Linked DNA regions of Arabidopsis thaliana. The protein of the gene in region 1 interacts with the protein of each later gene in a pairwise test. Each region holds a gene or a part of one and is shown on either strand. Other genes may lie near its edges. The genes, in order: AT3G54190, EMB3003 and FBS1.

Region 1 (3,755 bases):
AACTCACGTCAAGAATTTGAAGATTCTCATTCTCTTGCTTAACAAGAAGTTTCTCATTGAATTGTTCAATGAAGTCAACTTTCTTGTTTCGGTGAAGCAAATGATTGAAGGACTTGAGAACAGTGCCATCTTCTATCGACAGAATCTTCAGAGGAACATGACTGGCAGCTCTCTTGAAGATCAATAACATTATCCCTGGACTGATGCAGGGAATCAAATGGGCACAACAGTTAGAAAATTCACAAGTCTGTCAATCCAATCTAGTGGACAGCACAGTTAGAAAAGCAGCTTGCTCAATATTTGCAAACAAGAAACAACAAAAGGGTCAAAGAAAGATGGAGAAAAGTTACCTGATTTTAATTTCCTGGACATTTTTATCTGATATCGAATATAGCATGGTGTAGTTTTTCAGATCAAACACCTTGTATACACTGCAGAAACAGCTATCAGGCTCAGAGGATGAAACTTGTCGTAAAAAAAAATTTAGGCTGTGAGACTAGAAAAATAACCTGTCCTGCGCAGAATAAGTCAGCACCTTTCCATTGACATCATCAAACTCAACAAAACCAGGCCACTTTAATGATTCAGACTCAAAAAGAGCAAACCCTGCATCCGGCTGACCTCTCAGAATATACCTAATAGTTGATTACAACCAGAAACACACATTAGTTTGAATAACGCAACAGACGACATGATACCGATTTGGTAGATGGTAGAAAACTTACTCAATTCTAGTGGATCTGCATTTCAAAGAGCTGAAATTGTCTGAAGCATAAACAGAAACTGTGATGAGAGAATCATTGTTCTTGTTGTAGAACAAGCTCCTGATGACTTCATCTGGACTAACATTTAAAAAGCATATTCTTTTGTTCGACTCTGCAGTTTAAGGTAAATCATACTATCAGTCACATAGACACAAAGCTGAGAGTAAGTAGTCAAGTTACGATAATTACCTCTACTAAAAGCTGCGCAAACACCAGAATGTGCAAGCGCAAAAACAATGTCCCTTGCAGCAACAATCTCAATAACTTTAGTTCTCTTCATCAAAAACGGTAATGCAACTAAACAGTGCCCTTTAGGATCGTGAGTATCATATTGCTCCTGAAATCAAAATTCATCAAGCAAGAGCAGCTTAAATTAGTACTCAAATCAAATCCCAATTAAGAGAGAGAAGCAATCTCTAGGGTTTGGGAATTAGGGCAAATTACAAAAGATTGAAAATTCAGAACATACCACGAGACGCATGTTACGAAATCTCTCTTGGGCGGTGCTAATAGAGAAAGCTCGATCTTTACGAGAAGAGATTTCTCTTCGTTGAAGCTTTTTAACACTGTTGACGAATCCATCGGGTCGAGACCTTTTCTTAGCCACAATTCTTCTTCCACTACAAGGTCTAGGGCTTGCCGTAATCCTTCTTCCTTCCATCTAATTCTTCCTTCTTCAAGCCCAAATATTTCCAAGTAGGTTTTGAATTTTTGTGGAAACCCTAAAGGATGAAGAAACCCTAAGAGGAAAAAGAAGAAGCGAGAGAGTTGGGTAATCTCTAGGAGGAAGACGAGAAGTGACGGCTACTACATGGGAGTGTGACGTAAGACTTTTTTGCAGATTCAGATTGGAATTAAGCTGATTTCAATGATTCAGAGCTCTTTTTTTCTTTCAAAATCTCAATTTCGAGCACGAACCAGCCGAACCAATCCGAAGCATCGTAGATCGTAGAAAGATAAAATTAATATTGAATATTTTTAAAACGCAGCGTTTAAGGGGTTGAAAGAAATTAACTTTTATGGGCTGTGATGGATGGCCCAGCCCAATAAACCTTGTGACAATTGATTAGTTTGCTTGATAGAATTCTTCGAAAATATTTAATTATTTTGTTTTACTATTAGTATTTTTAAAAAATTCATGAGTCAACTACACGAAAAAACGTCATCACATAGTCACACATGTAAGTTTTTTTAATTATACGAAGTATTGCTTTCATATACGACCATCAATCATGTTTACAAACACTATAACAATCTTACACCGTTATTTTGGTTGTCAAAATCCGGCATCGACTTATTATTTTGGAATTGGATATTTATGTTTATTTGTTATTTTGTTTACCAGCCATATTATTTTATAAGTAAAAGTCATTGATTGGTTATCCAATTTGTAAGATAAAAGGTTTAGAAATGAAACATCATTAAATTTTGTTCTAATACATTGGACTAAATCACTAAAACAATCTATTTGAGAATTTGAATATGTTCTAATTCATATGCTATTGTTCAATGCGTTTTGGTAAAAATACTATAGTTGACTTTCAAAATTTTCTAATAATTTTTTTTAAAAAAACTAAAAAATAGAGTAAATGTTTAGGTAAAAGTATCGTAAATTATTGGAAACTTACTTTTCAATGATGTGATTCTAATAACTTCTATCGTGGGATTAAAAAAATGTCAGAAACTCAACAGCAAAAAGTCAATAAAACAAATGGGCATTCAAATGCATGATGAATTTAATAAGAGAGACAGATTAAACGGGCCAAAATCCAGAAGTCGTCCCGTGTAAATGAAGAAATGGGCCCAGAAAAAGACGGTGAATTAGTCATTGAATATGTTACGTAATAACCACACGAAATTAGGCAAAAGCGACGGATGATGCATCAAGCATGGTCTCTTTACAAAAGCCATGTGAAGTATTTGATTTCTACCGCTAACCTCACTTTATTATTTTTATCATCTCCCTTCTTCCACGTCCAGCTGAATTAATTAATGCACGTCTTCGAAACATTATTAAAAATGGTCAAATCTCAACTCAATCAATACCGATTTTAATAAAATTCAACTAACAACCATTTTTATAAAGAGCTGTCTTTACGACGTTCGACGAACATTATGTATGTTTTATACTTTTATCCGTTTTTATTTTATTTTTCTAAATACTTATTTTATGAATTTAGAAGTGTGTTACAAAATTAAATTGAGATTCCATTTACAGACATACACCAAAAAAAAAAAAAAAACTAGTATCTCATCAAATTCTTCCCAATTTATGAAAATGTAATTTTCATCAATTAACTATTTTTTTAAAAAATATACTCGTGGAAAATCAAGAAATATTAAAATGTAAAATAACAAATTATTAAAATGAAATGTGTTTGAGTCATGTAATTAAAAACTGGTAACGAATCCGCGTACAAATAGTGGTCTCCTCCTTTATAGGATAAACCAAAACCCCTGAGAAACTCAACAGCGAGAGAACCACAAAGCGTAACAAAGAGAGTAATAACTATGAGTGATTTTTCAATCAAACCCGATGATAAAAAGGAAGAGGAGAAGCCAGCAACAGCCATGTTACCACCACCCAAACCAAACGCTTCTTCCATGGAAACGCAATCTGCTAACACCGGAACCGCTAAAAAACTGCGGCGGAAACGCAACTGCAAAATCTGTATCTGTTTCACTATCCTTCTCATTCTCCTAATCGCCATAGTTATCGTCATCTTAGCTTTCACTCTCTTCAAACCAAAACGCCCAACTACTACAATCGATTCCGTCACCGTTGATCGTCTCCAAGCTTCCGTCAATCCTCTCCTTCTCAAAGTCCTCCTAAACCTAACGCTCAACGTCGATCTCTCTCTCAAAAACCCTAACCGCATCGGGTTTAGCTACGATTCGTCGTCGGCGTTGTTGAATTACAGAGGCCAAGTGATCGGTGAAGCTCCTCTTCCGGCTAACCGAATCGCGGCGCGGAAAACGGTGCCGTTGAAT
Region 2 (3,755 bases), on another chromosome or scaffold:
AACGCCAAACATTCCTAGGTTAGAGAGAGTGAAGGTACCTGCAATTACCCGGAAGGGAAATAAAAACAACAAGACTCAAACAATCTAGTTGAAGGATTACTCAAACTCAAATCACTTCAATATTCTAGTAGTAGGATTACCAGTGTTGTACTCCTGAGGCTGCAGCTGCTTGGCTCGAGCCTTATCAACCAATTCTTTCCATTTTCTAGATAACGAATAAATGTCAACCTGTTTACAAAAGATAGAACAACCCACTGATACCGGTTTTGAATACAGAGTAAACTCAAAATCTCTTATAAAGCATACAAAAGAAAAGAACCTTATCAGCGTTCTGAAGCACCGGAGTGATCAAACCACCATCAATAGCAACAGCAACAGCAACGTTGATGCTACTATTATACACAAAACTGTTACCATCTCTACAAGACGAGTTTACAACTGGATGTTTCGCCAGTGCAAGTGCAGTTGCCTTTGCTAAAAGTGCCGTCATTGTCACACCTTTCGACTTAATCTAAACAAACCAAACACAAAATGTGAACCAAATCAACATTTACACTTACAGTTTGTAACTAGTGTATGCTTCTGATGCACATCATAAGATACTATCATTTATAATTCAACTAGCTATCTCTCATAATCTCATCCCAAAGTTCAAAACTTCATCAAGCAACTATTATCACAATCAATGGAATCTCCAGTCTACTCTATCATACCAACCAAACGGATTTCAAAACACACTCACCTTCTTGTAGAGAGCATCAAGAGCATCCGTACTAATCGTGTAACCGACTCTAAAAGTAGGAACACCAAGACTCTCCACCATATTCCTACTCACAGCCCCCTGCATTGTCGTAAAAGGAACCACCGATCCCAACTCCACACCAGGAGCTGCCACTACCTCCTTAACAGCAACAGCAGCTTGAACTCCTCCTCCAGCAGCAACCGCCTCAACATCTTTAGCCACAATCCTTCCCATCGGTCCACTTCCAACTAAACCAGCCAATTCAACCTTCAACTCCTTAGCTAACTTCTTAGCATAAGGAGACGCCACAATCCTCTTCCCTCCTTCAGACGCCGGATGCACCGCAGACGCCGCCACCGCCTTAATGGACACCGGAGCAGCTGCAACCTTCTTCTCAACACTCACAGGTGCTTCAACTGCAGCCGTGGGAGGAGAAGCCGGAGGAGCCTTAGAATCACCACCACCACCACCACCAGAAGCTTTAGCTTTAGCATCAGCAATCTCATCTTCAGTTTCAGCTAACAAAGCAATAGCAGAACCAACAGGAGCAACACCACCTTCTTCAACCATGATTGCAGCTAGATAACCATCATAGAAAGTCTCAACATCCATATCAGCTTTATCAGATTCAACAACAACAACACTCTCTCCTTTGTTGAGTTTATCGCCTTCTGATTTAACCCAAGAGACGATTTTGCCTTCGGTCATCGTGGAACTTAGTGCAGGCATGAAGATTTCTCGGATCTTTGCTTGAATTGGGATGATTCTGGGCTTTACCCGGAAACCCGTAACGGAAGATCGTGTTTTTGTGGGGAGGGAAACTGAAGGTAAGAAGGGTGTTTGGAGAAGACGAGACATTTTTCGAATTTCGTTAATCGCAATGCGAGAGAGAGAGAGAGATAGAGAGAAATGAGATATAAGAAGAGTGAAGAAGCTCCTCGGAATTATCGAAGAGCAGGCGGAGTTTGCCAACTAATTTACCGGTGACGATCACTGTGTGACTCTTACTAGTGTATTGAAGGTGTGATACACGCGCGTTTTTGTTGTTGGGTATTGGGCTTTTTTCGAAGGCCCAATAGAGAACTATTCTGTAATCTTTTTAAAACCTTTAACCACATGTTAAGTTTTTTTACCATACACATTTTTCGCCCTGATTTTATAGTTTTTTACAGTTTTCATATAAGATTATCTCCAATGTAAATCTCTATTTTTCTCTGTAAAATAAAGCATGATTTCTCTCTTATGTATTATTTTATATGTTATTCTATTTTTAGAAGAAAATTTCATAAAAGAAAATTAAGGAGAAACTTATATTTTGTGTTTTAAAAAAATTTCGGTATACAAATTTGTTTGATGTTTGATCCATTATAAATATTGAATTTAAAGATAAATATAATTTTTAATATATTTCTTTGGTAAATGATAAATAATCTGGACAGTTGCAGAATATTAGTGTATAATACTTATAATATTATTTAGGGGTTATTGTCAAAAGAGGATGTTTTTTGATAAAAATTTTGATTTTGAGGCTTTTGTGTATGATCTTTGAAAAAGAGTAGTTTTGATAGGGCGATTTGATCATTTTACCCCTGAATAATCTCATCATCTTCTCTCATCATCTTCTTGCACGCTCCTCTTCTTTTAAATCCAATTTTTTTTCCAAATCTCATATTCTTAAAATCTATTCTAACTAAAAACATTCATTGATTCACAATAATTAAACCCTAAAGATGATAGTATTTATGAAACCAAAGCAAAAAATTAAACGAACGAAATGAAATCATCTTGCAAATGAAGAAGAAGGTGAATAGTAAAAACAGAGTTTCAGATTTGTGGCAGATCTGCAATCGAGTATTCGAAATCAAAGCTTTTCAATAATCATTTGCGTCCTCACTATTCACCATTAATGATATTTTGTTTATTGGAAGAGAATTCCATTCAAAAACTAAACCCTAATGATTATTGTAAAGGGAACCCAAGCAAAAAAAATCAAACGCACATTGATAAGTTTCTGAGATAGAATCTGATGATAAAGAGGAAGATCAGAGAAAAGAAAAAGAAACTGAGCCATCTCTCTCATGATTCACGGCCGCCGACGCCGTTCGTTACCATTGAAGGAGCTCATCTTAAGGGACAAAACCAATCAACTATCGTCACCGGAGCTAGCCCCGCTTCAATCACGTTGTAAAAAATCAATTGATCTGCAGAGAGAGAAAGAGATTTGATGGAAACGGAGACAGATCCAGTTGTTAATGGCGATGATGATGGCGTCGGTGGTTACGTTGGTGATGATGATGATGAGGGTTGATAACGACGACGACGACAACACAAAAAAGTCATACAATTTTTATTTGTTTTTGTGGTTTTTTAGACAAATAAGTCTATTATTTATGATTATTTATCGAATATCTAATAAAATGCCAAAAATTGTTTGCTTCAACGAATAATTTAGGAGTCCATTAATGAATAACATGACAATTTTGTTTTGGGCCGAAACCCACAAAACTTTCTTCAGATCATTTCACATATTGATTGATTTTTGTATTTTATTGAAAAGATAAATGTTTATTTACCTGAATAGATAATTCTAGAAGAAACCTTGTCTTTTCTTCTTCTCTAAACAAACACACACCAAAATAAAATCAAACGGTTGTTCGTAGTATGAATCACTTGCAATTTGTTTTGATAATCAATACACTATGACACCGTTTATCATCTGTTAATCGCTAATCTGAAATTTTTTTTTTTTTTTTTTTTAAATTTTTACTAGAAAAACATAACATATATGATAAATGCCGAGAAGGGGTACGCAAACCTGAAACAGAAACAAACAAGGCCGAGGCCCGAAACAAGAGGACGCAGCCCCCGCAGCAAGAGGAAGGTCCAAACACAAAGTGAACCCAATGAAACCAAGCCTACAAAAGAAACAACAACTGAAAATGTCATTGGGATAAGGAGAACCAAGTGGCGAGGAGGGTCAAGGCAGGAGGGGTGGATCTCTGAGCCCTAGAAA
Region 3 (3,755 bases), on another chromosome or scaffold:
AATCAAGAGGCTAAAAACTAATGAAATAAATATGCATCTCTTATTATTAATCCACTTTGTAAAAACCAAATAAACTATATTCACACTACACAACATACAAAAAGATCTATAACCCTCCCATAGAGTTTGTTTGTGACCTTCTAAAGAAGCTAGCCTTTCCAAAACCCTATCTCTCTTTTTGTATCTAACAACAATTTACAGAGACCTATCCAAACCAAAACCCAAAAAAAAACATAACTAAAAACCCCTCCTCTTCAATTAAGAATCTTGAAGAAACCAAGTTGTTTGATTCAGTGGAATAGAGCCACTGAGACTCCGGAATCGTCCTTGTTGCGGTTTATCCTCGAAAGACGGTACCTTTTCTGCAACGGAGCTCCCGGAGCTTCAATCTCTTCATCATCATCCTCTACATCAAACGGTTTATCCCAACCAAATCTGCCATGGTGGAAAACCGAGGTTTTCCGAGGTGTACTATACGCGAAATGTGACTGCTTTGCTATCATTGTCTGCAAAGAAAAACAAAGAACATTTAGATTCAGAATCAACTAATGGTGTATGTATCATCAAAACCTACTAATGATGCCAAATTTTACTTACAGCTTCTCTTATTGTCTTTGAAACATGAAACAATTGTTTCAAGTCTTCATGCTCGACCCCACAGATAATCCTCACCTGTAATAATGAATCACAAGATCTATCAACACGTGTCTATGAAATGTCAAACGATCTTACGCACAATGACAAAAGTTTTCCAGATATGGAAAAAGTTGAACATTTTCTCATTTCCATTACGATTTTGAATCTCAGAGAACAAAAAGGATTCAACTTTTAGCTCAATCTGATTGACACTCGCTGAATTAACAAAGACTCTCAGCTAATTAACAGAACCCAGAAATCACAAACAGATAAAAATAAGTTGTGATGAAATTCTTGAATCTCAAAGACCAAAAAGGTTCAACTTTCAGCTCAAATCTGATTAATACTCAGTAAATTATTATGAAATCTCAACTAATTAACAGAACCCAGAAATCAGAAATGATTAAGAATGAGTTTCTGATGAAATGAACCAGAAATTTAAACACTTTCTCATTTCCAAAACGAATTTTGAATCTCAGATTAAAAACAAAAGGATTCAACTTTCAGCTCAATATGATTGATACTTTGTAAATTAAGAAGAAATGACAACTAATTAACAAAACCAGAAAGAGATTAAAAGAAAGAGTTAGTGAAGAAACGAACCAGAATATCTAGGGGAAGATCTTCAAGCTCTCGACTCTGACCCTCTGCAACCGAAGTAGTTTTGTCATCGCAGAGCTTTTTTCCAACAGGTGAAGTGAAAATCGAATCCTCCATCTCATCACCAGATGAAATGAGAATCCTCTTTCTCCCAAATCCTCTCTTGTACTGTACAAACTCTAACCCTAACCCTAATCCTCCATTATCCACATCACGACGTTGCCTCAAATTCGGCTTCTGGGTAACGATTCTTTTCTTCCCCAATGCCATTTTTATCAATCTGCAACAGCAAAAGTACAAAAAATCAGATCTTTCCCCAAATTTCAGAGAATCCCCAAAACAGAGGAATTGGATAAAGAGAAAATGAAAAGTGAACCTAAGAGCAAGAAACAAACTTACAAATAAATAAGATTTTTCCGAAGATTTTCCGAGATTTGTTGATGTGAGTCTTGAAAGTATATGTTTGTGGGAAATGAACAAAAGCTGAGAGAAAAATGAGTAATTTTTCTTTTTTGGTGTTAATATTATGACAAAGAAAAATGAACTACTACTTCTTCTCTACTTATAGTAGATTAATTATCTTTCTTTTTCTTTTTAAGTCAATTTATTATTATTTAAATGAAAACGAGTAAAGTAGAAAATGCTGGAAATTTCCTAAGCAAAAAAAAATATCTAAATTTTTTAAATTTTGTTGTTCTCCCTCTCTTCCTTACTTTTTGCTGGTAAGCAAAAGACGGCTTACAAAAAAACTAGCCGTTGGGGAAAGACACGTGGTGAACTTTGAGCCGGAGGAGGAACCAACGTGGGTGGTTCGTGTGCTGACGTGGCGACAAGTTGTTCGTTTGACGGTTTAGTCGCCTCACACGGTTTTGTTTTGTTCTTAGGATTCGCAAAAAGTAAAAATCTTTCGAGTCACTGACACAATCTTTGATAATCTAACACTTATCAGTTATCACCGACCAAAAGAAATTAGATGATTATTGTTTAATTTATTTATTATTATTGATTACTCTTTATTTTAATCCATTGTTATTGAATTTTTTTGACATTTAATTATGGTATATGCAATTAGTTTCTTTTATGTCAATATTGTATCATCAAGATCTATAGATGTTATATGTATATATCATTGTTATATTTTTCTATTTTTATTTCCACATTCTTATTGGAGAAAATTACAATATTACTAGAAATAAAAAGATTTGCATGCCATTTGTTGAGATTTAGTCTTTATTGATTAACTCTTCATTTTAATCCATTATTTGTTTTTGAAAAAAAATAAGAAGATTTGCATGCCATTTGTTAAGTTTTTTTTTTTTTTTTTTTTAATAAATATGGACTTCTCATTTATAAAGGTTTTCCCCAAATATGGGATTGGATCACGGTAATACACAACGAGAAACACAGTTACAAAAATGCAAATCGGAGAATAATAACCTGGCACCGGAAAGGAGGATTATATCCTGGAGACACCGTGAAACAGAGAGTCCGACACACTAGCGACGGCAGATGCGCAGTCCACAGTTTTGCAGTCCGACACACTAATGACGACACATTTATTAAGATTTAGTTATCAATGGTTAACTTTCATTTTAATCCATTCTTATTGAGTCTTTTTGACATTTTTTTATGGTATATATGCAATTGATTTTGTTTTAGGTCAATATTATATCAAGATCCAAATTAAGCTTTTAACAAATAAAAAAATATAAGATATGCATGCATAATTGTTATATTTTTCTATTTTTGTTTCCACAATGTTATTGAAAAAATACAATATTATGGAAAAAAATATATGCATGCCATTTGTTCATATTTTTACTAACTTATTGGCTAATGTAAGGATATGTTTAAAGTATATTTTAAAATTGGTCAATTTGTTTTTTATTTCTCAATAAAACAGTAATTAATAATTAAGAGATACAAATATTACATTAATTAAATTGACAAAACTAATTAAATTAAATTATATATATATATAGTATTGAATTTTTGTACCTAAGTATGATATATCATATATATAATTTACTTAAGTTATTTACTGAAAAATCAAGGTCCAAAAATATGCATAGATTAATGATCATTATTATATATCTCTATTTTTATTCCCAAACTCTTATTGAAAAAAGTGTGCATGCCCATTAGTTGAGGATCTTACTAAATTATTAACTAATTTTAGGTACATCTAGTTAAGAATTTTTTTTCTTATTGTAAGTTTTTTTTATCAACCTATTATAAATTAGCAAAAAGAGCTGAATGATATTATTCACCGAACCTAATAATATTTGAAAAGACAATTGTATATCGAAAATATTAGTTATTTATAGATGAAATAATCAAAAATATGCAAAAATATATAAAAGCGAAAAAATACTTAAAAATAACCAAATATATATGTATGAAAATATCCAAAAATAACCAAAATATCTAAAACTATTCAAAACAAAATACCGAATCAATACCAAAATTTAAAACCAAAAAACCTGAACTGAACCAAAACCGAACTAAAATATTAAAAT

What was found.
Region 2: the proteins of AT3G54190 (region 1) and EMB3003 interact in a two-hybrid assay, tested with the Arabidopsis thaliana proteins (one large-scale study listed by BioGRID).
Region 3: the proteins of AT3G54190 (region 1) and FBS1 interact in a two-hybrid assay, tested with the Arabidopsis thaliana proteins (one large-scale study listed by BioGRID).

Annotation. Positions count from the first base shown.
Region 1 is NC_003074.8:20,062,456-20,066,210, forward strand, and holds the start of AT3G54190 (Transducin/WD40 repeat-like superfamily protein), read right to left. Parts: upstream 1,707-3,755; 5' UTR 1,426-1,706; coding exon 1,234-1,425; intron 1,102-1,233; coding exon 954-1,101; intron 877-953; coding exon 726-876; intron 636-725; coding exon 510-635; intron 432-509; coding exon 351-431; intron 201-350; coding exon 8-200; intron 1-7. Other genes in the region: AT3G54200 (Late embryogenesis abundant (LEA) hydroxyproline-rich glycoprotein family), read left to right, coding at 3,276-3,755.
Region 2 is NC_003070.9:12,588,485-12,592,239, forward strand, and holds the start of EMB3003 (2-oxoacid dehydrogenases acyltransferase family protein), read right to left. Parts: upstream 1,740-3,755; 5' UTR 1,601-1,739; coding exon 743-1,600; intron 512-742; coding exon 320-511; intron 229-319; coding exon 141-228; intron 39-140; coding exon 1-38. Other genes in the region: AT1G34440 (uncharacterized protein), read right to left, coding at 2,864-2,943, 3,316-3,358, 3,558-3,657, 3,704-3,755. UniProt on the Arabidopsis thaliana protein: The pyruvate dehydrogenase complex catalyzes the overall conversion of pyruvate to acetyl-CoA and CO(2).
Region 3 is NC_003070.9:22,626,277-22,630,031, reverse strand, and holds FBS1 (F-box family protein), read right to left. Parts: upstream 1,769-3,755; 5' UTR 1,636-1,768; intron 1,624-1,635; exon of another isoform or gene 1,517-1,623; 5' UTR 1,507-1,516; coding exon 1,240-1,506; intron 673-1,239; coding exon 598-672; intron 507-597; coding exon 291-506; 3' UTR 12-290; downstream 1-11.